Pelodiscus sinensis: one gene and its partner. The protein of the gene in region 2 interacts with the protein of the main gene of each other region in a pairwise test. Links are inferred from orthologs where the notes say so. Each region holds a gene or a part of one and is shown on either strand. Other genes may lie near its edges.

Evidence for each region.
Region 1: the proteins of MCM3AP (region 2) and MCM3 interact in a two-hybrid assay, tested with the Homo sapiens proteins (2 studies listed by BioGRID). The link is inferred for Pelodiscus sinensis from reciprocal best matches to the Homo sapiens genes MCM3AP and MCM3.

The regions. Positions count from the first base shown.
Region 1 is NC_134713.1:8,416,532-8,431,620, reverse strand, and holds the start of MCM3 (DNA replication licensing factor MCM3), read right to left. Parts: upstream 6,222-15,089; 5' UTR 6,109-6,221; coding exon 6,025-6,108; intron 4,557-6,024; coding exon 4,444-4,556; intron 2,506-4,443; coding exon 2,297-2,505; intron 1,199-2,296; coding exon 1,068-1,198; intron 18-1,067; coding exon 1-17. UniProt on the Homo sapiens protein: Acts as a component of the MCM2-7 complex (MCM complex) which is the replicative helicase essential for 'once per cell cycle' DNA replication initiation and elongation in eukaryotic cells.
Region 2 is NC_134717.1:65,900,951-65,916,043, forward strand, and holds the start of MCM3AP (germinal-center associated nuclear protein), read left to right. Parts: upstream 1-8,536; 5' UTR 8,537-8,688; intron 8,689-13,023; exon of another isoform or gene 13,024-13,176; intron 13,177-15,093. Other genes in the region: endoribonuclease YbeY, read right to left, coding at 7,735-7,944.

The DNA of each region.
Region 1 (15,089 bases), on a different chromosome or scaffold from region 2:
GGATTGTTTTCTTCATCCTGGACAAGCGACACAGACTCCTCATTCACAGAAGCATGGCAGGGGACTCTCCAGGGCAGATGGGGTCACCAAAACAGGACAGCAAGAAGGAAGGCCGATGTAGCAATGAGACAGGACTATGCTGCAAGGGGCTTCGTTATTGAGGCTACTGGGCACAGACACCCTGTGGTTCACCCAGGCTCTCCAGCTCCCCGACTAACAGCTTGCACTACTTGGCACAAGCCCCTTCGGCCCACCCAAGCACTAGCATGGACTCAGTAGTCATAGAGAGGTCTGCTGGCTGTCCCAGACAAGCAGTCATGGATCACCTGTGCATGAGCAAGACTTTCTGGTGGGAAGAGCATTATGTGGTCGCTGGTAGCCAAATTATCCACTACGTTCTCCAGAGACCAAGTGATCACTCTGCCTAAGGGTACGTCTAGACTACATGCCTCTGTCGCCAGAGGCATGTAGATTAGGCTACCAGACATAGGAAAATGAAGCGGCGATTTAAATAATTGCCGCTTCATTTACATTTACATGGCTGCCGCGCTGAGCCGACAAACAGCTGATTAGCTGTTTGTCGGCTCAGCGCGGCAGCCATGTACATTTAAATGAACGGCGATTATTTAAATCGCCGCTTCATTTTCCTATGTCTGGTAGCCTAATCTACATGCCTCTGGCGACAGAGGCATGTAGTCTAGACGTACCCTAAGAGACCACTCGATCCAATCTAGTAGATGCTTCTGTCTGACCAGGAGCCTAGATTTGAACTCTAGCAAATTCAGCACAGACTGCAAAGCGATTCATAAGCAACCTCCTTTGTGCTATTGCCTTCAGGACTAACACGGTGTTAGCTGATGCTGCTGTCTGTTTCTTGGGAGGGCATTTGACTGGACACTAGAAGAGGCCCCAAATGCATCAGCACCTCTGCCGTAGCTAGGCCTATATATTACTGCTGCTTTAAACCAACATGCACAGTCCACAGATGAACTCATGTACAGTCCTGCACAAGTCACTTCCCTCCCCTGGCCTCTGGTGAATGTTTGACACTACCTCTGTTTGCTCACCTTAGTGGGGTAGACAGAGCTGGATGGAAAAGCATCAAGACTCGTCAGGTCCGTATATCGGCGTTCAATGGTCTTCTTGGTAGCAGGGCAGTAATGGACACTGCGGACGATCTTCGGACGTACCAGAGAGCCTGTGTTTAACATTTGTTTAGTGGGAGGAAAAAAAGTTAGAAGAAACCCTGTAGACATGACTCCAGCAATGAGGTTTCACTGGGAGACCATTCCACAACAGACAGGTCTCCGGACATGTTCCCTGACAGCAAACTTAAACTTCTTGGCTACCTTTCACTCCAGGACTCCTAGATATACCTTAGAAAAGTGATTCTCTAACAAAAAATTGTTTCCCGCCCCCTATTGCAGCACCTCTTCTCACTCTACCCTCTGTGGCTTCCTCTTCCCCAGCCTCACTCACTTTCACCAGGCTGGGATATGAGGTTGAGGTGTGGTAGGGGGAGGTGGAGGTGAGGGCTCTGGCTGTATGGGGTGAAGCGGGACAAGGGGTTTGGGGTGCAGAAGGGAACTCTGAATTCAGATGTAGGGTCCTGGAAATCCCTGTTCTTCTGGATTAGAAGAACCATTAGAGGAGTGAGGTTCTGAAACGGCCTTCCAAGGGAAGTAGTGGGGGCAAAAGATCTATCTGGCTTCAAGATTAAACTAGATGGGTTTATGAAGGGGATTGTTTGATGAGATAACATGATCTTGGTAACTAATTGACCATTCAGTATCATTGGGAAATAGGTCAATGGAGGGATGATAGGAATTACTAGAGAACTTTCTGGGTGTCTGGCTGATGAGTCTTGCCCACATGCTCAGGGTTTAGCTGATCGCCATATTTGGGGTCGGGAAGGAATTTTCCTCCAGGGTAGATTGGCAGAGGCCCTGGAGGTTTTTCGCCTTCCTCTGTAGCATGGGGCACAGATCACAGCTAGAGGATTTTCTGCATCTTGAGGTCTTCAAAGTATTTGAAGGCTTCAATATCTGAGATATAGGTGAGGGGATTATTCTGGGAGGGGTGGGTGAGATTCTGTAGCCTGCACTGTGCAGGGGGTCAGACTAGATGATCACAATGATCCCTTCTGACCTTAAAGTCTATGAGACTCTAATTTAAGCAGCACTACCCTGGATCATCCTAGCCATCCCTGACATTCTCACTGGTCTAGTATCTACAGGCAGTTATCAATCCCATATGGGCATTCATATGGCACATCTCAGCCCCCCCCTGCACTCACATTTTGTTACAATGCCCTCCACACAGACCATGCAGCCCAAAAGACAGGATGTCAGTGTCCGGGGAGTCACATGCTTGGAGCCAAAGCTGCCCTCCAGCCCGATGTAGAATTCCTCATATTGCTTAGCGTACGTGGCATCGATGGACGCGACAAAGTCCTTCAGGGCACGCTGAAAGGCAACCAGCTCCTCGAAGGCACTACTCAGGAGCCTAGAGCAAAAGGCAGCAGGACTCCAATCAGTTCAGCTGTCTTGCTAGCACATCCACAGCAGGAAGACCCTTTCTTTACAGAACGGCAATTCCTAGTGCCCTCACAGAACAGCGGCAGAGCTGTGCAAACACTGACAATTGTTTTCCCATCACCCATGTGAGGATTCATTTCAGTCAAGAAGTGAATGCACTATGGACATCAAGTCCCTAACCAGGATCGATACTCTACTGCAAGTATATGGGATTTAGGAACCAAACTGAATATATCACTTTTGAAAGTCTCATTAGGTGCCTATCTGTAGGTGCTGAAATATTTGAGTAAGACTAGTCTTGAACTTCATTAAGATTCCTAAATTACTGGGTGCTTTTAAAATGTTCCAACCCCCATATGGGCTTTCTGCAAACATCGCAGCAAACAGGTTTTCTTAGCACAAATGCACACAGGCTAGAATGCTACACAGGGTCGCAGCTGGTCCTTGAATCTGGGGAGAAGGCAAGTCCCAGGTTTAGAATTGCATACGGATTGAATGCCCTCTAAAATAGGAGACTGGACCTTGCTTGCCAGATTCCAGTTTGCAGATGTGATGTTCTCAGCAGATAAGATGGAGTCTCATGCCAACCAAAATGCACAAAAGGGAGTTTGCATTGACTTAATCTGGCCCACGAGGCTTGGGGCTTGCTCTCCCTCAGCAGCACAAGCCAGCACTGGCACTCCAGCCATGAGGCAGGGGGGAAGCACATGGCTTATGCCTTGTGGGCCCAATCAAAGCAAGACATAGGCTGGATTGGGCCCCATGGACTTTCCAAGGCAGGGTGAGAGGTACCCCATATCCACTGCCCCCTCCTGTATCCCCTGCTCAGTCCTCATGTCTGCACGCTCCTTCCTTCCCTTCCAGACCCTGCACCTCACCTCCAGCCTCCTCCTGTACCCTCCCTCCCAGACCATGCATCCTCACCATGCTTCTGCCACCTCCCTCCTGCCCTGACCCCATACAGTCTAACCCATTCCTGAACCCTCCCTCCCTGACTCCACAACCATACTCCTAGCCCTCTCCCCGACTGCCCCCTCTCACACACTGGACCCCTCATTTTTGGCCCCACTCCAGAGAGTATCTCTGGGCCCCCAGAAGAGTTAATCCAGCACTGTGGTGTAACCCCTGAGCCTCAGAGCCTCCCCTATCTCCAGGACTGGAGCTTGAGGGAAAGGTCTTCTTTTCCTTCTTCTCACTGGGGACCAGGTCAGTGAGGACTGTGGAGGGTTTATTTTTTTGCTTCTCACTTGGTTAGCCCCCAACTGATTTTTTCTCTGTGGGTCAGTGGCCACCAACCTAAAAAAAAAGATTCCCCACGCCTGAGCTACATCATGATAAATGCTACCTGTGCTTCATCTCCTATAATTTTGCATCAAGATGGCTAATGCATGATAGTTATCTTGCTGTAACAAAAACAACAACAAACAATAATAAAACAAAAAGCACACACTTTTCTGGTTGTGAAGATATTACCTTAGCACAGGTCTACACAAGAAACTTTTACAAGTGTGTTAGTATTTCTTTTTTGGGGGAAGGGTCAGCACCATTTCAACACTGACAAAAGCCCTGCTGTAGATGCTGCAATACCAGCATAAGCATTTTGGCTGGTACATCTTATTTTGCTCAGAGTCCCTCTAAAAGGTATAGCAGCAAAAGTGCTTAGGGTACCTGTGTAATCTACATTTCCTTTAGTAGGATTTGCTGGTGTTAGTACACTGGACAAACCTTTTCTACTACAGAGCTTTAGAGAGAAAGTAATAGTTTAACCCATTGACCTGCCTGCAAAGTTTGCCAACATGGAAACAACAACTGTACAGGCTCTCCTCTCATACTACTCACTACATGCTGTGCAGGAGCCAAGTTGGAAGAAACACTCTTGTCGAGTTCCTTCACAGGTTACTCTTACCGGTTGGCTCTCTTCTCGTTCTTCCTCCTCAGCTCATTGATGCTAACAATCAGACGATACTGATTATCGTGGATCATATCCCGGACTTTGCTCTGGTAAACTCCCTGGTCCTCCTGCAGCATGCCATGAGAGAAAGGTTCCCTTTTACAAAGTTAAGCTGGCGAGATGCAGCCCATTTGATTTGTCTTTAGTGGCTCAGGAAATCCCCCCCCACCCCCTTCCTGTTATTCATGCTGGATATCTTTGTTGCAAGGAAAGGCCAGATAGAGGAATGCAGTGTCAACACCTTCACTTTGAGTTGGAAATGCAGTTCCCACCTCGAAGAAACATAGGATCTAAGTTATGCAGCTTCAGTTATGCAATTACCATAGGTGAGGTCAGCATATTTAGATCTACTTACTGCAGCATGCTTGACGCAGTGCACTGACAGGCAGTGCTCTCCCATCAACTCCCCTTGCACTTATCATTGAGGTGAAGTACCAGAGTCAACGGGAGAGTGATCTGTGGTCAATTTATCGTGACTTTAATAGACTTGATAAATCAACACCAACTGGATTGATCACTGAGCCAATGGTGAAGACAAGCCCTTATTCTCACCATCTCTGATTGAGACGGCTCACTAAATATAGAGCATAACCAATAGTGTAACCAAACCAGCAGGAGGGACTAACCATCAAAATTATGTACTTATATGCATGTGATCTCAGACATTTGCTGACACAGCATCCTTCTATGTTTGGTATGCTAGCTCCATCAGAGCAAGCACAAGAATTTATCCTCTACCTGTGCGGTGTTTTAGATGCTGCTTGTAATTATTAGAACTGGGAGCACTGGCTGTTGGGAATCTGGAAGCACAGGAAAGAGGAAGGAGGGGGGAGGAGATGGGCCAGGCCTGAGTGAGAGCTACAGAGGGGAGCAGCAGCAGCTTTGTAAAGAGGTTTCACCTTTGTTAAATAAAAGGCCTGTTGAAGTTTGTTACTATCTTGCTTGCATGATACAACAACTTGGGGATCACCCCCCCCCCAGCTTTCAGTACAGACTGCGTTCCTTTTTAGTACCCTATGCCTTCTTGCAGATAGTCAGTTACAACTCAAGCTGCGAAAGAGAAAGACACTCCCCACATTCCCCTTGCACACCAGAGCCAAAGGGGGGGGAGGGCAGGCTAGTAGATTCTGTGCGCCCCAGCCCCACAAGTGCGGTGGCAGTGCCAGCATGGGCTCCCCAACTGGCCGTGCACAAGATGGGGGGGGGGGGTGTGCAGGGCAAAGCGTTAAAACGAGATTTTTAAACCTCCCCCCCCCCCCGCGCCTGAGCGGAGCTACGGGACTGGCCGTGCACAAGATGGGGGGGTGCAGGGCAGCAGCCCCACCTTGCAAGGACCGCCCCCCCCCCGGGAATGGGCGTGGTTTGCAAGGGGGGGCGGGGATCTCCTCCCCCCCAGAGGCCAAACTTGGACACGGGGAGGGGGGAGCCCCCCCCGGGCTGGGGAGGGAGACAGGAAACCCAGCAACAGCCCCCCCCCCCCACGCCTGGGTCCTCTCCATACCGCCCCCCCCCGGCCCGGAGCTCGCCCAGTCTCACCTCGTCGTCCAGGAAATCGAGGTAGTCGCGCTGCGCCTCCCGCAGCTCCGCGTCCTCCAGCCCCGCCGCCGCGGGGGCCGCCATGGTGCCTGCGCTGGGGAGCGGGGCCGGCGCCGTGGAGCAAAGGCTGGACTCAGGGGCGCCCGCGCTGCCGCTGGCTCCGCCCCTGGCGCCAAAACCGGCCGCGTTTTCCCGCCACCGCAGGGGTCACCAAGGCTCCGTCTCCCATTGGCCAGCCTCTGACTGAGCCGGGAAGCGGCCGGCCAATACCAGAGAGCGGGAGAAGAGGCCACAGCTTCAGCCAATCAGGGGGAGAGGCTGAGAACGTTCGGTCCTTCACGCTGTAGTCCGCCCTCGAGCATGCTGGGATGTGTAGTTTCTACTAGACGCTGTGGGGGCCAAGGGAGCATTGCATGCTGGGAGGTGCATGCCTGCCAGAGGCATGCTGGGCCATGTAGTCCATCACGGGTGCATGTTTTAGGGTCAGTTCTGAGCCATAGCAAGTCAGGCATTTAGGCCTAGTCTCTGCTACATCGGAAGGTCGAAGTAAGATACACAACTCCAGCTATGTCTCTTACATCGCATTTCTGTGCTCTGCACACAGAGGGAAGCCAATGGGAGGAGCAGGAGTACCTGAGCCAACCCGGTTGCCCTTCCAGTTCGATCTAGAGGATGAACCCACTAAATCGAACCCCCAAAAATCTACCATGGCAGTGTCTTCCACATAGTGTAGACATGCCCTTGCAGTGTTAATATCACTGTATTACGTAGCCATGAGCGAGCCTTCCCAAACCTATGAGATTAGTAATAATAATAAATGAGGAGAGGTTGTGCTATGTGCTTTCTGGTTGTTCAGCCCTTACGATAGAAATAGGGAGGTGTTAGTCTGATCTTGTTAAAACAAAAGGGAAAACTATGTAACACTAACAAGATTGGTTAATAGGTGATGAGCTTTCCTGGGCCAGACCCACTTCCTTAACTCATATTCTGGAAGAGAATTGGCATGACCATATATACCAAAAGAATACAATGAAAAAAGTGAACACATTATTAAACTGACAAATCAGATTTAGTACAGAAGGTGGGGCCAGGGAGAGGAAGGGAGGGGATAGCTATATATGAGTCAATGAATGGCTAATTAGGGGTGATAAGTGGAGAAACTTTGTAATGGGTAAGATAATTAGCATCTTAAGGCCCATTCGTAAAGTGTCAAATTTAAGCATGAATGAAAGTTCTGAAGTTTCCCTCTGTAATCTGGTGTTAAAGTCTCTTTGAAGTAAGATGCATGTAGTAAGGTCGTTAAGACTATGTCCGATAAGTTGAAATGAAAACCAACTGGTTTTTCCTTGTGAAGATGTCTGATGTCTGATTTGTAGGCATTAATTCTGTGGTGAAGTGTCTGAGAAGTCTGTCCAATATACATAGCAGAAGGACACTGTTGGCACATGATGGAATAAATTATATTTCTGGACGAACAGGATGAACTGGGATCACATTTTAATGCTTTTCTGCAGCTCACCCCACTTCCTCTACACTAGAAACTTATGAGTAATTAAAATGGAAAGAACTTTAAAAACTAATGGTCCTGTAGCACCTTAGCAACAAGCAAAAATATATATATAATATCATGAGCTTTCGTGGGCACAATCCACAGATCTCCAAATGGCTGTCTTGTTACAGACCAATTTTACACAGAGAAGGGTTGGAATTACAATTCATCTACAAATTAATTCTCACACCTATGGCCTCAATCAAGATAATGGATGGCTGGGACATTATCAATCAAACAAACAATGAAGGTGCCAACAGCTCTTTATCTGGGTAGATTTTTGTAGTAGTACTTTTCCTCTCTTAATTGCTATCCTATGATCCTTATCTTCTTCTTTTTACTATTCAATTTTTAGGAGCTTACTGATTACCAGTTTTGCCTTTCTGGTTTTCCCTTTGGCCATGTCCAGACTCAGGGGTTTTTTCGGGAAAAGTAGCCTTTTCCCGAAAAAACTTCCCCTGCGTCCAGACTCAAGCTGCGTTCTTTCGAAATTATTTCGAAAGAACGCGGCTTTTCTTTCGATGGTGGTAAACCTCGTTTCACGAGGAAGAACGCCTTCTTTCGAAAGTTCCTCTTTCGAAAGAAGGCGTTCTACAATGTAAAGAGGCCGTCTTCGAAAGAGAGCATCCAGACTCGCTGGGTGCTCTCTTTCGAAAAAGTGGATTTCCTCTATTGAAAGATCCGCCTGCAGTCTAGATGCGATCTTTCGAAAGAGGCTCTTTCGAAAGATGCTTTTGAAAGAGCCTCTTTCGAAAGAAGCCTGCAGTCTAGACATAGCCTTTGATATTTACAAACCCTCTGCTTCTTGTATCCTTCTCCCCTATTTATTATTTTGGGTCTGGACATCCTAAACTCAATTCTCTGGTAATCTGAAGAAGTGGGCTGTGCCCACAAAACCTCGTATTCAATTAATGGAGATTGTCTATCTCCTAGAGCTGGAAGGGACCTTGAAAGATCAAGTTCAATCACCTGTTTTCACAACAGGAGCAAGTACCATCCCTAACAAATTTTTGTCCTAAATGGCCTCTGCAAGGATTGAACTCACAATCCTGGGCTTAGCAAGCCAATGCCCAAACCACTGAGCTATCCCTCCCCCACGGCTACATGTTTTGTTAGTCTATTAAGTGCTACCAGACTATGTGTTGTTTTTTAAGTTTATCCAATACAGATGAACTTGGCTACTCCCTGAAGCAGTGAGAAGAGGATTATGACCTATGTAAAATGCTACATCAAAATCTTTAGTCATTCCAATTCAGTCCCACTAGGGGGAAGCAGATTCCAATGGAACACAGTTAACTGTTCTGTGTGTGCACAAACGAGACTAGATAATCAGTAAGTGCCCTATTTCCTCTTTACAGGGTTAGGTCTCAGGCTCAGCTCCACCTATATATCTGAAATCTGCTAAATAGCTGTTGTTATTGAATTAGGATGATATATTGAATGTTCAAATATAATCACCCTACCCCTCTAATCCTTTCCCTGGTTCCACAACTGAAACAGTACAGTTCTGCCCCTTCCTTGCTTCTCATTTTTCGGGTCCCACTCTTTTCTCCTCTCCTCTTGGAATAAACTTGGTTGGGGTCAATACAGCTTCACTAGTGTAAAATTGCTGACTGGAGAATTAGGCCTCCCCAAGTCCTGCAGTTCCACCAATTCTGCTGCCCTTCACGGCCATTTTGCTACTTCCTGTGCTGGCCCCTACACTAATAGCCTTCCTCATCCAGTATTCTCAGCAGCCTCTTGGTCCTTCAAATCTATCTCTTTTCGCAATCTCTCTTAGAATGAGCTAAATTCTCCTTTTAGCTGTAGTGACTTAATTGGGACAATGAAACTGAAAGGGTGGATTTGTGCCCACGGTTTCACACCTCCAAACTAACCTTTGGCATTCTAGGCAAATGTAAATATAAATTCTAGGCTAATGTAACATAATCCTTGCAATGCAAGCGAGTGCATAATCATATTGCATGCATCCTGCCTCTCCCTCTGCTATGTCTCCCTCCAGCATTTCATCTTGTGTATTACCTAGGCTGGAAGATGTTTGGAGCAGTGACTTTGGACCTGATTATCCACTGAGCAGGTGTAAAATGCTACCCAGTCAGGATGGTAACTCACTGCAGACATGCAGGATGGTGGAGAATGATGTCCCATTGACCAGATTCTGGTCCCTGCTCTGGCTGCTTCATGTGTTTCTGATGGCGCGAAGCAGTCAGAAAGCATCCCTAATGAAGCTGGAGATTCCCCTCAGATAAGAGAATCTCTGGGTGGCATAAACTAGACTAGTTGACTCTATACAGACAAGGAAGTATGTTGGAGCCATAAAGAAGTATGGCCAAAGCACAATGCATTCCCAGGTTCCTAGACTAGCAGAATAAGCGCAGAAGGCCAGATGTTCCAGCTGGTGCCAGTTACAGCATCTTTGAGGGTGAGGATGATCTAACCTACGCTTGGGGTCAAATTAGCTCTTGGTAGCCTCCAAAATCAGAGGGGATGGAAAGGTGTAGAAAGCCATCTATGTCTCCTATAGGGGTGCATCAATCATGGCTCAGAGTCACCTGCAGATTTGGCCTCATCTCTTTATTTTCTCTGAAAAGCACCATGCACACTTAGGCTACGTCTACACTGGCATGATTTTCCGAAAATGCTTTTAACGGAAAAGTTTTCCGTTAAAAGCATTTTCGGAAAAGCACGTCTAGATTGGCAAGATGCTTTTCCGCAAAAGCACTTTTTGCGGAAAAGCGTCCGTGGCCAATCTAGACGCAGTTTTCCACAAAAAAGCCCCGATCGCCATTTTCGCGATCCAGGTTTTTTTGCGGAAAACAGTACTGTGCTGTTTACACTGGCCCTCTTGCACAAATGATTTGCGCAAGAGGGCTTTTGCCCTAATGGGAGCAGCACAGTATTTCCCCAAGAACACTGACAATCTTACATGAGATCATCAGTGTTCTTGCGGAAATTCAAGTGGCCAGTGTAGACAGCTGGCAAGTTTTTCCGCAAAATCATTTGATTTTGCGGAAAAACTTGCCAGCCTAGACACAGCCTTAAGGTACATCTACACTACAGAGGAAGATCGAAGCTGCCTCTGTCAATCTTCCAGGGTTCACATTAGTGGGTCTAGTTAATTCAGCTCATTCGAACTGAGAGGGGCACTCCGGTCAATGCCAGTACCCCTGCTTTCACGAGGAGCAAGGGAAGTCGAAGGGAGAGAGTGTGCTCCCTTCAACTTCCTGCAGTGTGGACAGCACCAAAAGCCGAGTTAAGCTACTTCTACTTCAGCTACGCAATTAACATAGCTGAAGTTGTGTATCTTAATTCGACTTTGTCCCGTAGTGTAGATGTACCCTTATAGTCCCATGAAGCCATGGTGAAGAAAAGCAGCAGAAGAAGAAAGGTTATGGACTTACTCTTGGAGTTCTGCTGTCGATGGGAATGAGGATAGGATCAAGCCTTATATTTGTAGAGTTGAAAAATAAAAGCTTGTTGGGCTTGGCACAGGATGGAAACATCCAGGAATATGCTGGCTAATGTGTGTGCAGACAACAGCCCCCGTTACTGGAATGAACCAATGTGTGTGCAGTAAACACAGGGGACAGGCTTAGGCTAGAATGGAGTAGGAGCAGACAAGCCAATCATACACCTGCAGTTGGGCTTACAGGTTCAGCCATCATAACAGAGGGCATGGGGAGTTGCTTAGAAATGTTATCCAGACATTACATTAAATATCAGTTCTAGGGCAGCTTTCCTCTCTTGGTAATGCACGGTTTATATTCTCCACTCTCTGTGATAGACAGCGTGGAACAGGGGTTCTCAGGACAAAACTTTTGGTGGCCTCAAAGTGAAGCCACCAACTCTTTCTGCTGGCCACTCTCACACTTTTTCCTAAGCTTCAGGGAGTAGCCAAATTAGCCTGTACAGGATAAACTTACAAAACAACAAATGGTTTGGTAGCACTTTATAGACTAACAAAACTTGGGGATGGTATCATGAGCTTTTGTGGGCACAGCCCTCTTCTTCAGATGACCGGAGTTTGGAGTTTAGGATGTCTAGACCCAAAATAAATAGGGGAGAAGGGAGAGAGGGGAAGGGGGAAAAAAGGAAGGTGGCAGGAAACAAGGAGCAGAGGGTATCAAAATATCAAAGGGAAATACTAAAATACAGAAGACTGCCAATAATTTGGAACCTTTGTTACCTAGGTGGTGCCAGATTATTGGATATGCCGGACTATCAGGAGATACTATAAGATGATTATATATACACTGTATACAGTATATACTGTCTATAAAGTGTTTTTAACCCTTTTTATTGTACATGCTGTATACAGTATTCTGTAATGTTTTAGTTTTTTTAACCCTTTTTTACCCTTTTTGCTCGGTTCAGCTGCTGTCGCTGCTGCTTTGTGACTCGTTGTTTGCCGAAGCTCATTCACTAGGCTCTTGCCATTTTGATGACGGACTATCAGGAGTGCCGTACAATTGGATGCCGAACTATTGGAGTTTTGCTGTACTTAGTTAGCTTCAGGAAAAGCAAATAAATAAGCACATATGTACGTCCAAATCATTGTAATTTATTTATTGCTAGCTAGTAAGTCTGCTGTGAAAAGTGATATTAACAAACACACAAGTAGCACTTTTCCAAGCAGATATAATCAGCCCTACCAAGCTTGGGCACAAATTAAGCCCTGCAGGCAGCCTGGGACTACTGCTGTGTAGTCAAAGTTTAGGGATGGAGCCCAAAGTCCTGCCCCTCTCTGGACTGAAGCCCAAATCGTGATCCCCACCACTGCTGGGAAGGTAGGGAACTAATTTACTGCCTGCCTGCTCCTACAGCGTTGTGCCTCAGTTGTCTCCAGAGGCGGGCAGCACTCAAACCCTACTGACAGCCCTGCAACCACCACGAGCACCAGGGTGGGGGAACAGGGCCATCCCTACCGATGCTGGTGCCATATGCAGCCCAACACCAGCACTTCCCCAATGGCCACTCTGCACAGGGAAGGGGGATGAAGCTGAAAGGGGTTGCCAGTTTTCCCGATCTAGATGCCATTTACTGCAATGGTGTCTAGTTTGTGCAGTCTTGGAGAACTGGCAGCAGCAGAGCAGGGCTGAGAGGGAGGCACAGGCCGGAGGACCAGCAGGCAGTCACATAGCCAGCCAGAGAGAAGCAGTACTTTTAAGGGGAAACTGCTCATTCTCTCCAGTTGCTCACTCTGTGGCTGCCCCCTGCTCCGTCTGTGTCCTCTGGCCCCGCAAGCACCACTTGCCACTGCTTGGTGAGCAGGTAGTGTTGCCAGATGGTTTAACAAAAAATACCGAACCGTCCCTCCCCTTCCCCCCAAAAAACACTGGAAAAAAATTCTGTTGAGAAAAAAAAGAGGGGGGGGAGGGTAGAGCAAACTTTTAGAATTAAAAAAAAGGGGGAGGTACTGCGCCTTTAAATGGCCCCGCAATCCTCCTCACTCCCCCCACCCCTGCCAGATGCGGCAGGGGAAAATTGTCCCCACCTGGCTTCTGTCTGAGGGAGACAGGAAATACCGAAATGTTCGGTATTTTCTGTTTTTTTTTACTAGACAGGGGACCCGAATAACGGACAGTCTGGGTGAAAACCGGACACCTGGCAACCCTATGAGCAGGGGCTGGGTACTGAGCCCTGAGAGGCTAGCCAGCTGGTGCTGAGCCAGGGGGAGCGGCTGGGGACGACCAGAGGTCCAGGACAGCCTGTGGGGGGAATGGAGGCTGCTGGAGCCCATAGGCAGCCCCCAGCTGCATAGGGCCCTGTGAAAGTTGGGGCAATTTGGTGCCCCAAAGTTCATGGTGCCCCACGTGGCCGTGTATTTTGCGTATGGGTAAGGAGGGCCCTGCAGGAGAGAGACTGCCACAGGCTTCTTTCCCTAAACACACACCCACACAGCCCAGGAGGCAGTGGCCACAAAAAAAGCCCCGAGTGGCCAGGGTGGCATTTGAGAAACACTGGCATAGTGTCCTAGCTCATGCGGTCACTGAAGGGAAGGATATTAGAAAAGATAGAAGCATTTGATGGAATAGAAAGAGATCCGACTGCTTGTTTGTTTCAGGAGAAGCCAGCTCTCAGTGCACCTGTGGATCTGATTCCAGAACAAGCCATGGACACCAGTAACTCACTGTAAATTGCCAGCAAGAAATGTATTTGTAACGTATGTCACCCAAGAGGTTATGAGCCTCGTTCTCCACGGCTTTGCATCTTATGTGTAGTTATTTACATCTGTGCAGAGTGTAACTGCTACCACCAGTGTGAGAGAGAGGAGGATACTGATTTGTTAGTGTAAATTCTGATTAAGCACCACTGCCCCTTTAGTGGGTTAACTCAGAACTGCACTATTGAGCATCATAGGCCCTATACTGCTGCTAGCTGAGGGAAAGTCTCCTCTGGCTTAAATGGCACAGTCCTATCTTTTTAGAGTAGTAGGACCTGAGATCTATCCTTGATGTTACATTAAAGGTTAAAGGTGGTGGTGTGAAGCAGCGTGAACTTATAATTTCCTTAGGCTGTCTACACAGCAGTGTTATTTCAGAATAACTGGCATTATAACGAAGAGCGCGTCTATGCTACAAGCCATTAATTTGAAATAATGGTGAGCTGGAGGACTTCTTACTCCAACTCCTGGTACCCCTCATCTTACGAGGAGTAAGGGAAGATGAAGGAAGACTGTTCTTCCTTCAACGTCTTGCTGCATACACAGCTCCAAAAGCTGAGTTAAGCTATTTCGACTTAAGCTACGCAATTGATGTAGCTCAAGTTGAGTAATTAATTCAATTTTAGCACTGCTGTGCAGACATACCCTTAGGCTACGTCTACATTGCAGGCTTCTTGTGCGAGAACTGTTTTGCGCAAGAGTTCTTGCACAAAATGTCTTCCACAAGATCATGTCCACACTGCCATGTGCTTTTGCGCAAGAGATGGGCTTTTGCACAAGAGCATCCATGGCAGTGTGGACGCTCTCTTGTGCAAGAAACCTCTGATGGCCATTTTAACCATAAGGGTTTCTTGTGCAAGAAATTCATGTTGCCTGTCTACACTGCCTTCTTGTGTAAGGGTACGTCTAAACTACATGCCTCCGTCAACGGAGGCATGTAGATTAGCCAGATCGGCAGAGGGAAATGAAGCCGCGATTAAAATAATCGCGGCTTCATTTCAATTTAAATGGCTGCCCCGCTCTGCCGATCAGCTGTTTGTCGGCAGATCGGGGCAGTCTGGACGCGACGCGCCGACAAAGAAGCCTTTCTTGATCGGCACAGGTATGCCTCGTGAAACCAGGTTTACCTGTGCCGATCAAGAAAGGCTTCTTTGTCGGCGCGTCGCGTCCAGACTGCCCCGATCTGCCGACAAACAGCTGATCGGCAGAGCGGGGCAGCCATTTAAATTGAAATGAAGCCGCGATTATTTTAATCGCGGCTTCATTTCCCTCTGCCGATCTGGCTAATCTACATGCCTCCGTCGACGGAGGCATGTAGTTTAGACGTACCCTAAGAGCTCTTGTGCAAGAGGG
Region 2 (15,093 bases):
TCCATGGATGGGCAGGGGATAGAGGGGACAGGAGCTGAGGAAGCAGCATGTGTGAACAGCAGCCAATGGGACTCAAGAAGCTGTGCCCTGCAGTCTGCATGTCACTCAGCCCACCCTGAAGCTGACAAGCTGTGACTGCACTCTGGGGTCAGCATATAAACAGGTCAGTCACATTGTACCATTTTTCTCTCTTATTTGAATACGTCACCCCACTCTAAGCATTCAAAAGCTATTAGAGTGGCAGGAAGGGTTTGTTGGGCCCCTAGCAAAAATGGATGGTGGATCCAATAAAATTTTATTCAATAAAAATATTTGGCACCTCAAAGTTGTTACATTTCAATGTGGACATGCTGTATTATATCTCAATGCTACTATATTGGTTTTGATAACATGAACTATTATACATTCCAAATGATTATCAAGAAATGGAATAATAGAATCCTAGTATACTAGGACTGGAAGGGACCTCTAGAGGTCATCGAGTGCAGTCCCCTGCCCTGATGGCAGGACCCAGTACTGTCTAGACCAGTGGTTCTCAGCCATGGGCCATATGGATCCCCAGGAGCCACGCCCTACCTCTAGGGGGCCACATGGAAAAAACGGAACATTAGGTAAATTATGTACCTTTTTTTCCAACTAACAGCGGCTATGAGAGAGGCCGCAGAGGTAAACGAGGCTCAGAAGGGGGCCATGAGCAAAAAAAGTTGAGAAACACTGGTCTTAGACCATCCCTGATAGACATTTATCTAACCTACTCTTAAATATCTCCAGAGATGGAGATTCAACAACCTCCCGCAGCAATTTATTCCAGTGTTTAACCACCCTGACAGGAACTTTTTCTTAATGTCCAACCTAAACCTTCCTTGCTGCAGCTTAAGCCCATTGCTTCTTTTTCTATCCTCAGAAGCCAGGAAGAACAATTTTTCTTCCTCCTCCTTGTGACAACCTTTTAGATACCAGAAAACCGCTATCATGTCCCCTCTCAATCTTCTCTCTTCCAAACTAAACAAGCCCAATTCTTTCAGTCTTCCTTCATACGTCATGTTCTCTAGACCTTTAATCATTCTCGTTGCTCTTCTCTGGAACTTCTCCGATTTCTCCACATCTTCCTTGAAATGCAGTGCCTAGAACTGGTCACAATACTCCAACTGAGGCCTAATCAGCGCAGAGGAGAGCGGAGGAATGACTCTTTGTGTCTTCTTCACAACACATCTGTTAATGCATCCTAGAATTATGTTTGCTTATTTTGCAACAGGGTCATACTGTTGACTCATGTTTAGTTTGTGGTCCACTATAACCCCTTTCTGCCATATTCTTTCCTAGACAGTCACTTCCCATCCTTTATGTGTGAAACAGATTGTTTCTTCCTAAGAGGAGCACTTTGCATTTGTCCTTATTAAACTTCATCCTGTTTACCTCAGACCATTTCTCCAATTTGGCCAGATCATTCTGAATTATGACCCTAACCTCCAAAGCAGTTGCAACCCCTCCCAGCTTGGTATCATCTGCAAACTTATTAAGTGTACTCTCTATGCCGATATCTAAATGGTTGATGAAAATATTAAATGGAACTGGTCCCAAACAGACCTCTGCAGAACCCCACTTGTTATGCCTTTCCAGCAGGATTGTGAACTGTTAATAACTACTCTCTGAGAATGGTGATCCAACCAGTTATGCACCCACCTTATAGTATCCCCATCTAAGTTGTATTTGTCTAGTTTATTGATAAGAACATCATGCGAGACCGTATCAAATGCCTTACTAAAGTCTAAGTATACCAAATCCATCGCTTCTCCCTTATCCACAAGACTCCTTATCCTATCAAAGAAAGCTATCAGATTGGTTTGACATGATTTGTTCTTTACAAATCTATGCTGGCTGTTCCCTATCACCTTATTATCTTCCAGATGTTTGCAGATGATTTCCTTAATTCCTTGCTCCATTATCTTTCCTGGCACAGAAGTTAAACTGACTGGTCTGTAGTTTCCTGGGTTGTTCTTATTTCCCTTTTATAGATGGGCACTATATTTGCCCTTTTCCAGTCTTCTGGGAATCAATCCTGTCTTCCATAATTTTCCAAAAATGACAGTTAAAGGTTCAGACACCTCCTCTATCAGCTCCCTGAATATTGTAGGATGCATTTCATCAGGCCCAGGTGACTCAGACATCCTATCAGAATGTTTAATTCATAACTCCCATTTGCTTTTGCCCCCATGACCCACTTTTGAACAAAGCCCATCAGCTTGTGAGCAAACTCCACATATGTACACTCACTGAACATTTTAAAGCTTCTAAATTTCACCCGGTGAGATTCAGAGGTAACCCTGAACTGTTTAAGTGCATAGTCTTTAAACTGCCCATAGTCTAATGCTTCCTCCTCTCCCAGATCATTTAAATACCTCCTTACCTTGCCAGTCTGTCTTACCATCAGGTCAGGCATGCGCTGGTGTCACGTTACTGGAATTTGAGGGAAGCAGCCAGATCATGGCTGCACCCATAGGTGGGGATGCTGGCCCCAAAAATGATATAAAAGGGGGCCCTGTGGGGTGTTGAGTGGGAGCTGTTTGCTGATCCTGTGTATGCTATTTATGTGAGTGTATAATGTCTGTGTGTGTAGGTAGGAATCTGTAATCTGTGCGGAAGCTGAATATTTCTCTGAATGTGGTTGAGCATTGGGCAGAGCCTGGCCTATGGACATGCTAATTAGCGAGGCCCTGTTGGACAATGGCACTCGATGGGCCAAGGACATACCTAAAGCATGAGGGCGGAGACCTAAGAGCTGCCAGGAGAGAGAGGCTGAGGGCCAGGTAACCAGCTGCAGACAAGAAGAGGCCAGGAAGGAGGTATAAAGAGGCCATGTGGGGGATTCCTTTTTGTCTTCAGCTCAGCACTTCATCCCAGAGGCAGCATTGCAGGGATTGAAGAGCCCGAAGGACCTGTGGACCCATCCTGATTCTAGGATGCGCAACAAGAACTTTTAAACCAGAAGCGGTAACATCTCTGCTACAGCCTGCATCGAGAACTGGGAGATTCGGTGCATGTAATGTATTATTCCTTTAACAGCCTCTCTCTCAGGCTTTTCTTTCTTGTGATAATAAACCTTTAGTTGTTAGATGCTAAAGGATTGGCCCAGCGTGATTTGTGGGTAAGGTCCAAAGGGTAAATTGGCCAGGGATCTGTGGCTGGTTTCTTGGGACCGGACAGAACTTGTTCGGAGTAGATGGGATTGGGTGCTAGGACCCCCCACCTGTGTATGAGGCCCGGGGCCATCTGAGGCACGGATATTGCTGGGATGTCAGAGGGGTTTTGCTTGTGAGGCTTCAGGCAGGCTGCTGAAGCTCTTTGTGGGACTGGTTTATGGCCTGTTCAGAGAGGTCACCAGTCTGGGGGCTGTAAGGAGCCCCGGATTTGAGCAATTCGCCCTGAGCAGACGCCCTCAGCTGTGCCCAGACTCGGCCCGGTCTGTCACAGCTGGTCATCTGGGATCCGGTTCACATGGCCAAAAACTCCTCAATATCCTCATTATTGTTGTAGATGGGACAGATCCTTTCCCAACTCTTGTTCGAAAGTGGGGGTGAGCTTTCTGGTTGTAGTATCTTTTGTTGCTCTTCCAGTATTCGGAGTCGCTTGTAACTCTCCTCTGCCGCCAGCTCTTGCTTTCGCGTGCGTGGTCTGCCTCTTTTTCTTCCATTCGCCATGCATGGGCCACTCTCTCCTCTTCCGCTGATGCCTCCTTCTCCTTTCGACGTATCTCGGCCAGGGCCCTCTCATGTTCCAGCTCCATTTTCTTCAATGCCTGCTGCTTTCTAATTTCTTCTGCAACAGCATCCGTGGCATTGGGTGGGAGCCGCTCTATTGCCCGCTGGTCCTTCTGCAGTAGCAAGATGTCAGCTGCTGCTTAGTAGCTTTCTTCCTAAAGTCAATGCCTCTCTCTGAGCACAAATCCTTCAGAGCCTCTCTGTTCAGACTTTCATACCGTTGCTGACTCATTGCAGTTGCTCTTTAACCAACCAAACTCTTAACACCAAAAATCCACTTTAGACAGCGTGGGGTCCTGATCCAAAGCTCAGTTGACCAAGATCTGTGGATCCTGCCGACTACGCCACTGTGACGGACCGGGCTGGGTCTGAGCACAGGTGAGGGCATCAGCTCAGGGCCAATTGCTCAAATTCGGGGCTCCTTACAACCCCTGACTGGAGGTCCTTCCCAAAGAGAACACAAACCAGTCCCACAGAGCACTTCAGCTCATGAGCAAAACCCCTCTGACACCCCAGCTCTCTCCGTGCCCCAAACAGCGCTTGGCCTAACACACAGGTGAGGGGTTATAGGACCCAATCTCACCTTCCCCGAATGGGTTCTCCAGTCCCAAGAAACCAGCCACAGTTCCCAGATCAATTTATACTCTGGATCTTACCCACAAAATCATGCTGAGTCAACCCTTTAGAATCTAAAATATTATTATTAAAAGAAAGAAAAGCATGAGAGTAAGGTTGTTAAAGGATAATACATTACATGCAACGAATCACCCAGTTCTCGATACAGGCTCATAGCCAGGGCTCGCCAAGCGGTGGAGAGCCCTGCTCACCAGCTGCACAGTTCTGCAAGCTGCGCATGCGCAGATCGCGTGGCGTCGGCTATGCCGTCTTGTAATCTACTCGCCACGGGCAAGTAGATTACATGATTTGTCGAGCCCTGCTCACAGCAGAGATGTTATAACTGCTGGCTTAAAAGTCTTTGGTGTACATCCTAGTAAGGATGAGTTCACAGTTCTTTCTGGCTTGTGGTTCCCTGCAAGGCTGCCTCGTGGGTCGAGAGCTGAGCTGAAGACCAAGATGGAGGGTGCCACATGGCACTTATAACCCTCTCCTGGCATCTTCTTGGCTGCAGCAGGTCACCTCGTCCGTGGCCTATCCCTGTGTTCCATGCTGGTAGCCCTTAGGTATCAGTCACATTCCTGAGATGTGTATTTGCACCTAGAGATTCATTGTCTCCTTGCTAATTAGCATAGCCATAGGCTGAGATTTCCTTGCAGAGTACATGTTTATAACTCCACATACAGATATTATACAAGTACCTGAATAGCATACACAGGATCAGTAGAACACAAGCTTTCATGTAACATCTCACATGGCCCCCTTTGTATAGACTTTTGGGGCAAACACCTCTCCAGGGGGCAGCAGTTATCTAGCTGCTTCCCTTAAAATCCAGTAACATGACAGATGGGCACAGAACTTCTTAAGCAAAATGTATTTAAGTGTGAAAATACAAAATTGTGAGATGGAAATTCCGTGTCCACTGTGCTTGGAAACTGTTGCTTGGATGGGAATTTGAATGTGTCCCACTTTCCTAGGTTTCAGAGCCTCCACATAAACCACAACTTCAAAGCACCACCTTTAGGCTATGTCTACACTCACGGCTTCTTGTGCAAGAACTCTTGCTCAAGAAAACGTCCACACTGCCATGTGCGAGCTGTGCTTTTGCACAAGAGCACCCATGGCAGTGTGGACGCTTTCTTGCGTAAGAAAGCTCTGATGGCCATTTTAGCCATAGGGCTTCCTTGCGCAAGAAATCCCTGTTAAGCGTCCACACTGCCCTCTAGCGCAAGAGCTCCTGCGCAAGACGGCTTACACCTGTCAAAAAAGAGCATAGCTCTTGCTCAAGGAGCCCCCTCTTACCACGCCGTACTGTAAATTTACTTGCGCAAGAGGCAGCAGGCACTGTGGATGCTCTGCAGATTCTTGCGCAAGAACGGCCGTACTTGCGCAAGAAGCTGCGAGTGTAGACATAGACTTAAGAGTGTTAGCACAGGCTCTGCTAACCCATGTCTGTTAAATCTGACTGAAATACTACCTTTCACAGGCTGAGTAAAAACACCATCAGAGGCCAAATTTTGCTACAAACAAAAAAATCACCTTTACATCACCAAAACAGCACAAGTACTAAAAACTGTAACTAAATGTAGCAAAAAAGGAGAATTCTTTAGCTAATTATTGATTACTTAGAAAATCTTTTTTTCCACTACTAGGAAACACGGTGTGCAATTATATGGCTGTCTTGTCAGCAGAAATGAAAGGGGAGCCATAAGTGAACTTTAAATGTGGACATTGGTTGTAAAAGTTATATTTCCAAAGCCTTCTTTTCCTATACCTATTACCTGACACTAGCTGAATGGTAGCCTAGACCTTTTTCTTTCTAGAAGTCTTCCATAAGAGAGAGACAGAAAGAAACTGAGTTACCACCAACCAGTTACCTACTCATTACTTTGATATACAGGCAGTCCCCGAGTTACGTACAAGATAGGGACTGCAGGTTTGTTCTTAAGTTGAATCTGTATGTAAGTTGGAACTGGCGTCCAGATTCAGCCGCTGCTGAAACTGATCAGTTTCAACAGCGGCTGAATCTGAATGCCAGTTCTGACTTGCATACAGATTCAACTTAAGAACCCCAGGCGTCCCCAAGTCAGCTGCTGCTGAAACTGATCAGCGGCTGATTCCAAGAAGCCGGGGGCAGAGCAACTCTGCTTCGGGCTTCCTGTAGTCAGCCACTGGTCAGTTTCAGCAGCGGCTGACTTGGGGAAAGCCTGGGGCAGAGCAGCTGGGGTGCTGCTGGGTTGCTCCAGTAGCGCCTCTCCTCGGCGCTACTGGAGCAACCCAGCAGCACCCCAGCTGCTCTGCCCCCTGCGTCCTGATTCAGCCGCTACTGAAACTGACCAGCAGTGGCTGAATCAGGACACCTGGGGCAGAGCAGCTGGGGTGCTGCCAGGTTGGTCCAGTAGCGCCGAGGAGCGGCGCTGCGGGACCAACCCAGCAGCGCCCCAGCTGCTCTATCCCAGGCGTCGTGGGAGAAAAGCCTGGTCTGCTAGGGGGGAGAGGGCACTAGCTGCGCCCCAGCCCCCCCCCCACAGCAGACCAGGGAGACGCGGAGCAAAGCCACGGAGGACGCCCGCAGCGGGACAGCCCAGGCGTGCTGCGGACGTCCTCCGAGGCTTTGCTCCCCGTCTCCCTGGTCTGACCAGCAGACCAGGGAGATGGGGAGCAGCTTTTCTCGCCCCGGAGGACGCGGGCAGCGGGACCGCGGCTCATCTGGGCATCCCGCCGCTCCCATTCTCTGGGGTGAGAAAAGCCCCGTTCGTAACTGCGGATCCAACATAAGTCGGATCCACGTAACTCGGGGACTGCCTGTACTTAAATATAACTACAAAAATTAAAAAAAAGACAAAAAAAGCAGGAACATAAGAACCACCAGCGTGGTCAGACCAATGATCCATCTAACCAAGTATGCTGCCAATAGAGGTCAATGTCAGGTGCTTTAGAAAGAATGATGAGAACTATCAAACTACCCTTCCGCTGCTGTCACTCTCAGGTTCCCAGGAGTGATACTAGCTGCCTTATGGAAGTACAATTTCTGAACTGGACAACAGGCACGAGTATGTATAAACTAAGTCATGGCTTTGTTTTCATGCCTTTTATGAGGCCATGCAAGAAAGAACATAAAAAACTCTCTGAAAGCCCTAAAACACATCCCAGCTCATTATGAATTTCCCAAAACATCTAGGATACTCTGAAGCACCACTGTATCCTCATATATCACCACACAAGGCCATGATAGTGAAATATATTAAACTGCATCTGGATTTAATAAGAGTTATGGTGCATTATAGAAGAGCATGCAAAGAAGTCACTTGTATTATGCAAACCAAGCAAGTAGCTGCAGAAAGAAAGGGGGAAAATTTACCTCATAAAAGGGAAAGGATAGCACATCAGTGGGAACATTTTTTTGGCTGTAGGTGCTGTTGAGTAGTTGAATGTTTTTATTGTTGACACAGATAACAGCCAGATCAAACTGTTGCACATTCAAAATCTTCTGAAGGGTTTCTATACTTCTGCGAAGTGGGATGCGCCTGAGGGGTATGATTTTCTGCAGATTGCGAATGATTAAACTCATTTTACTGGAAGCTATTCAAAAGGTGGTTTGAGGGGGCCCTGCCACTTAATGTGAAATATTAGGCACTGATCGTAACTAACAATCCAGTAGCAGATACCAGACACTACTGTTGCTTGACGGTCCGGGCAAACGTAGATACACACATGACGGAGAGCAGCGGCACGGTAAGGTAAGGAACTTGTACACCCTAGCGCCAGTCCGCTGAAGCGTTCAACCCCCTGGCACCACTGCAAGCCGGGATCCCGACAGCGCGAGGAGCCCCGCCCCGCGTGCGCCCACTGACGGTCGTTACAGCCGGTAGCGCGCGCAGGCAGCTGTCGGGCCTCCCGGGGCGAGCTCCGCAAGGACGCTCGATGTTAACGCTGGAGCCTGAAACACCCTCTGGCGCGCGGCGGCGGCGGCGCCTCCCCTACCCGCTGCAAGCACGTGCGCGGGCCGCGTGAGGCCGGGGCCCGTCTGTCCGGGCGGCAGCTCTCGGCCGCGGAGGAGCCGGGGGCCGTTACAAAGCGCTACATGGCGGGCTGGACGCTCGTGCCGCTGCCGCTCGCCCCGCGCGCTGTGACCGGAAAGGGACGGACGCGCCTGGGAGCGCGCGCAGGGCGGAGCTTCCGGCGGGCGGTGCCTCCCGAGCGGCACAGACCGGAAACGGCTGAGACCGCCCCGCCCATCGGGTGCGCGCGCGCGGAAGGAGAGGACGGTTTCTCCCCGCGAGCGCGATGGCGGCTCCGCTCGTGACCTGGACCGGTGAGAGCGGGGGCGGGGCCTGGCCCACTGGTACCGAGCCCGGAGCTCGCCCGTTTCCCGGGCAACGCCCTGCGGCCCTTGCCCCCCGGCCCCTCTCAACCCCTGCCCCCCCAGACGCCCCCTGGCCCCCCCTCTCCTGTTCGCTGCCCCCGGGCACCCCCCCTGCTCCCCTTTCCTGCCCCTGGACACCCCTGCATTTCCCTCTTCTGTCTCCTGCCCCTGCTCCCCCTCTCCTGTTCCCCTCCCACTCCTGTTCCCCGGGCACCCCCCATCTCCCCTCCCACTCCTGTTCTCTGCCCCCTAGCACCTGTCACTCCTGTTCCCAGACCCCTACCCCTGAGCACTCCCTTTGCCCCCTGCCTCCGAGCACCTCCCTCAGAACCTGTTTCCTGCCCCCCCCATTCCCCAACCCTGCCCCCGAGCACTGCCCTGCGGCCCTTATTCCTGATTCTCCCAGTCCTTCTCCTTGCCCCGGGCTCACACTTGGCCCCCTTGTGTGTTACCACTATTCTTGGTTCACTTTATATTAGAAATGTACAATTCTGGTTAATTGGCTAACCTGCTAAACCTGTTGTTTAACTGGTTAACTGATTACAATGGATGAGCAGGGGGCTGGTACAGCCTGGCTGGAACATCTCCCCGCCCCTGCCACAAGTAAGGGCTGCTCCAACCATGCCAGAACAGCCCCTGTCTGACTTGTGCCCCAGAGTAATGGTGTGCAAGCCATGAGAGGGTGGCGGATGTCTTCCCAGGAGGTCGTGGCACTTTGATGCTGCTGGCCGGGGGCTGGACCCGGCCTTTGGGAGCTGCGCTGTGCAGCGCTTAGATCTGGCCGGCTGGGTGCAGCCATGCAGCATGGCAATTAGATCCGGCTGGCCAGGGGCTGGACCTGGCAGTTGGCGGCCCCAGCAGCGCAGGGGATCGCAGACCAAAAAAGGCTGAGTACCATTGCACCAGAGGGCTGCAACAGCCTCTGCCAGTGGTTGGTGGGGAGCTGCTCCAGCCTCCGCCAGTTAACTGGTTAAACCTTCAGGCTGTGTCTAGACTGGCAAGTTTTTCCGCAAAATCATCTGCTTTTGCGGAAAAACTTGCCAGCTGTCTACACTGCCGCTTGAATTTCTGCAAAAGCACTGCCGATCTCATGTAAGATTGTCAGTGCTTTTGTGGAAATACTAGGCTGCTCCCATTCGGGCACAAGTCTTTTTTCGAAAAACTTTTGCGCAAAAGGGCCAGTGTAGACAGCAGAGATTTGTTTTCCGCAAAAAAGCCCCGATTGCGAAAATGGCGACTGGGGCTTTTTTGCGGAAAAGCGTGTTTAGATTGGCCACGGACACTTTTCCGCAAAAAGTGCTTTTGCGGAAAAGCGTCCTGCCAATCTAGACGCGCTTTTCCGAAAATGCTTTTAACAGAAAACTTTTCCGTTAAAAGCATTTCCAGAAAATCATGCCAGTGTAGACGTAGCCTCACATTCTTACATTTACCTTCTGTTTCTGAACAGCTGTTCCCATTAAAATTGGGTGGGATGCACGGAAATGAAAGTGTAGGTTAGGCTATGCGGTCAGGACTACAGGTGTTCCTTTGTGCTTTGAATTATGGCTTCTGTAGTATATTCAATCAGCAGGAATTTATGGAAAATTATTTTAAGCCCCCCAAGTTCAGGTGTGCCCCCCTTTTGGGACTATCTCTGTTCCACATGGAAACATGAGTTTCAGAATAAGGGTATTGGTTGTGGCCCAACTGTAGCCTGGCTGCTTCTTGGAGTGAGTAGTTACGGTATATTATTCTGGGAAAACTTAGGCTCTGCCTTAATTTCCTTTTTCCTGTGCAGCAGTCTCTTGAAAATAGCATACAGTAAATGGTTTAAAAAGTAGCTAAGCAGTTAAGTATCAGTAAATGCAGTAAAATTAATCATAACATTTTCAGGGAAAGGGTAGTACCTAAAACACTGCAGTAGATTTTTTTTTTTTTAAAGGCAGCTAGTCATAAAGCCTTTAAAGTTAAAAGTGAAAAAATATCCTTAGCGTTGATGTTAACAAATTAGGGCCTTACCATGCATCTGATCTGTATGGGCATACAGCCGCTCCCCGAGTTGCGCGTTTGCACTTATGACCAAAGCTCCCATGGAGCGGTCGTAAAGGCAGTCCCCGACTTACAAATGTGACCCACGCTTACGAACAGTGCAGTCACGTGTAACTCAGTGGGGTCTGAGTTACAAACGGATTGTTACGGCGAAGTGTTTGGTCCATAACTCGTTTGTAACTTGGAGAGAGGGTATACTTTTATACCCACTCAGAACCTTTTCATTGATGAAAGTGCCTGCAGGTGCAGGATCCAGGCCTTCATTGTCACGGTCACATGTATAGTAGGTAATTCCTACTTTATGGTTTAAGAAGGCTGAGGGATTTAGAGAAGCAGTTGGAAAATGAGCAAAACAAACAATTGTTCAGGATAAACTTAAGAAACAACAAATAATCTGGTAGCACTGACTAACAAAACATGTGGTGGTATGAGCTTTCTGGTCTATCAGAACTAGGAATCCTCTAAAGAAATTAATGGTGCACTAGACTACCAGGGACTGAAAGACATTAGGGATGTGAAAGACTAGTCGACTATCTGATAAGCAAAAGCTTATTGATAGTCCATACTAGTCGACTAGCCACCCTCCCCCCCCCCCCTTTGCCTCTATCAGAAAGAGGCAGCAAAGGGCTGGGGGAGGGGAAGTGGCTGGGTGTTGCTCCTTTAAAATGCTGTATGGAGCTCTATGCTGCGCTGCCACTTTGAAACTTAAGCAGTCCGCCGCTGGCCCAGAGCTCCCTGCATCGCTTTCGTCTTTGAGGTGTAGCTCCAGCACTTCAGAGGCAAGGCTCCCTTATAGACTAATCAAATAGTTGATGCAAATTGCATTGACTATTCGATTAACCTATTAATCTAAATTTAACATCCCTAAAGGATACTGCAGAGAAGCTAAATAATTTTAGTATTCACAACAGAGGGTGTTAGGGAGCTAGCTATCCTGACCTACACTTTTCAGATAATAAAGAACAAGGCATTGTCAGAGACTTAGTTGTCAAAAGAATAAGGTTTGGAACAAACTGATTAAATAGCATCAAGTCATAAAGACTGTATGGTACATCCAGGAGTTTTGAAGAAAGTTAGTAAAGTAACTGAATTGCTAGCAAAGCAATGCAATCTATTATACTATTCAACTACTGTGTGTCTACATTGTCCCGTTCAGCTACTTATCTTTAAAAAGAGCAATAGAAGCAATCCTAGTATATGCTACTATGGTTCTAGGTTAAATAGTTGAACAATAATTACAGATAATTTTAATGGGCCTATGAATATGATATAGAAGGGATGAAATGGTATGCCTTCTGTAAAGGGAAGTTCTCTTTCCTCAGTATATTCAAATTGTTTGAGGTTATCAGCAAAATAATGAGTAAAAAATTGGTACATTAGAACTTTTAAAAAGTCCTTCACAGGACTGTTAAGAAAAATAATTAATCATGGGATGAAGGAGAAAGTTAGAGTAATAGTGTTTAAGGCCTGAAGGGAGCGCAAGGAAATGTACTCTTACCTGTACAGTAGAGACCACCACAAATCCAACAACAGGATAACCTTGGATGCTTAAATGAAAGGGAAAGGAGTCCAGGAGAGCTGGCAGTATTTTAAAGAAACCTTATTAAAGGTACAGGAAGAAACCATCCCGATGTGCAGCAAGAAAAGCAAATATGTTAGGCGATCAGATTGGCTTACCGGGGACATCCTTGGTGAGCTTAAACACAAAAAGGAAGCTCACAAGAAGTAGAAACTTGGACAGATGACTAGGGAGGAGTATAAATATATTGCTCGAGAATGTAGGGGAGTTATCAGGAAGGCGAAGCGCAATTGGAATTGCAGCTAGCAAGGGATGTGAAGGATAACAAGAAAAATTTCTACAGACATGTTACCAATAACAGAGTGATCAGAGAGGGTGTGGGGCCCTTACTGGATAAGGGAGGTAACCTAGTGACAGATGATGTGGGAAAAGCTGAAGTACTCAATGCTTTCTTTGCCACTGTCTTCATGGACAAGGTCAGCTCCCAGACAAATGTACTAGGCAACGCAGTATGGGAAGGAGGGTGGGCAGTCCTTGGTAGGGAGAGAACAAGTTAGGAACTATTTAGAAAAGCTAAACATACACAAATCCATGGGTCCGGATTTAATGCATCTGAGGGTACTGAGGGAGCTGGCAAGTGTCATTGCGGAGCCTTTGGCCATTATCTTTGAAAACTTGTGAAGATTGGGGGAGATCCCTGATTACTGGAAAAAGGCAAATGTAGTGCCTATTTTTAAAAAAGGGAAGAAGGACAATCGAGGGAACTACAGACCATTCAGCCTTACCTCAGTCCCTGGAAAAATCATGGGGGGGAATCCTCAAGGAATCCATTTTGAGGCACTTGAAAGAGAGGAAAGTGATCAGGAATAGTCAACATGGATTCACCAAGGGTAAGTCATGCCTGAAAAATCTGCTTAGCTTCTATGGAGAGGTAACTGGCTCTGTAGATACGGGAAAGTCAGTGATGTGATATACCTTGAAATTAGTAGAGCTTTTGATACAATCTCCCACAATTTTCTTGCCAGCGAGTTAAGGGAATATGGATTGGATAAATGGACTAAGATGGATAGAAAGCTGGCTAGACTGTCAGACCCAACGGGTAGTGATCAATGGGTCGATGTCAGGTTGGTGATTGGTTTCTAGCAGAGTACCCCAAGAATCTGTTCTTGGACTGGTTTTGTTCAACATTTTTATTAATGACCTGGATGAGGGGATGGATTGCGCCCTCAGCAAATTTGCAGATGACACTAAGATAGGGGGAGAGCTAGATACGCCAGAGGGCAGGGATAGGGTCCAGAGTGACCTGGACAGATTGGAAGATTGGGCCAAAAGAAATCTGGTGAGGTTCAACAAGGACAAGTATAGAGTCCTGCACTTGGGACGGAAGAATCCAAAGCATTGTTAGAGACTGGGGACTGACTGGCTCAGTAGCAGTTCTGCAGAAAAGGACCTGGGGATTACAGTGGCTGCGAAGCTGGATGACAGTCAACAGTGTGCCCTTGTAGCCAAGAAGGCTAATGGCATATTGGGATGCATTAGGAGGAGCATTGCCAGCAGATCCAGAGAAGTGATTATTCCCCTTTATTTGGCTCTGGTGAGGCCACATCTTGAACATTGTGTCCAGTTCTGGCCCCCCCACTATAGAAAGGATGTGGACACATTGGAGGGGAGACAGCGGCAGGGGACCAAAATGATTAGGGGTTGGAGCGCATGACTTATCAAAAGAGACTGAAGGATTTGTGTTTATTTAGTCTGCAGAAGAGAAGAGTGAGGGGGGGGTTTGTTATTCCAAAAATATTCTCACTGGAGACCACCCAGGGTTACACTAGTATGGGTTTATTTCCACTAGGTAAGACTAAAGAGGAGAAAGCAGCCACCAAAAATTTAAACTAAAGAAGATAGATCGATCTCTCTCTCTCCATTCATTCACTCATTCACATCCATGCATTCCTGCCCTCAGGCACTCACATACTTACACAGACATATGGGTTGCAGAAGGAGCCAAGGCATGTGGATCCTGGAGGGTTTGTCTGATCATCATGGCTGGGGAAGCTGGTCAGGAGGGGAGACCATTGTGCTCCGTCTCTTTATATAGTGTCTGAATGTCTCCTGTGACTCATTCACCTTGCCATCAGGGAGCATGCCCAGACTCCCCTTTATCCAGCAGAGAGCATGCCCAGACTGCAATGACTCATTGAAATGTGCTCCATTGTTCCCAGTCTTCTTCAAACACACTCACACTCTCTCTCCATTCACCCAGGGGGGGAGAATGCACTTTAGGGAAAGTTACAAGCAAGGTGGCTGAGAGTTAAAAAGATTACAAAGTTGCACCTTCAGTAAATTTCTGAGAGTTACACAGATTACAAAGTTTGACAAAGATCACAATGAGTTGCAGTTTAAAACCTTAGATCTTATAATTTGGTGTAGTTTCAGAAAATCCATGTATTTAAATCAAGTAAGCTCAGGCGAAGGCTTTTTTATGCAACAGATTTGATAGCAGCCTTCAACTTCCTGAAGGGAAGTTCCAAAGAGGATGGAGAAAGGCTGTTTACAGTAGTGATGGATGGCAGAACAAGGAGCAGTGGTCTCAAGTTACAGGGGGAGAGGTCTAGATTGGATATTAGGAAAAACTATTTCCCTAGGGAGGGTGGTAAAGCACTGGAATGGGTTAACTAGGGAGATGGTGGAATCTCCATCCTTAGAGGTTTTTAAGTCTTGGCCTGACAAAACTCTGGCTGGGTTGATTTAGTTGGGATTGGGCCTGCCTTGGGCACGGGGCTGGATTTGATGACTTCCTGAGGTCTCTT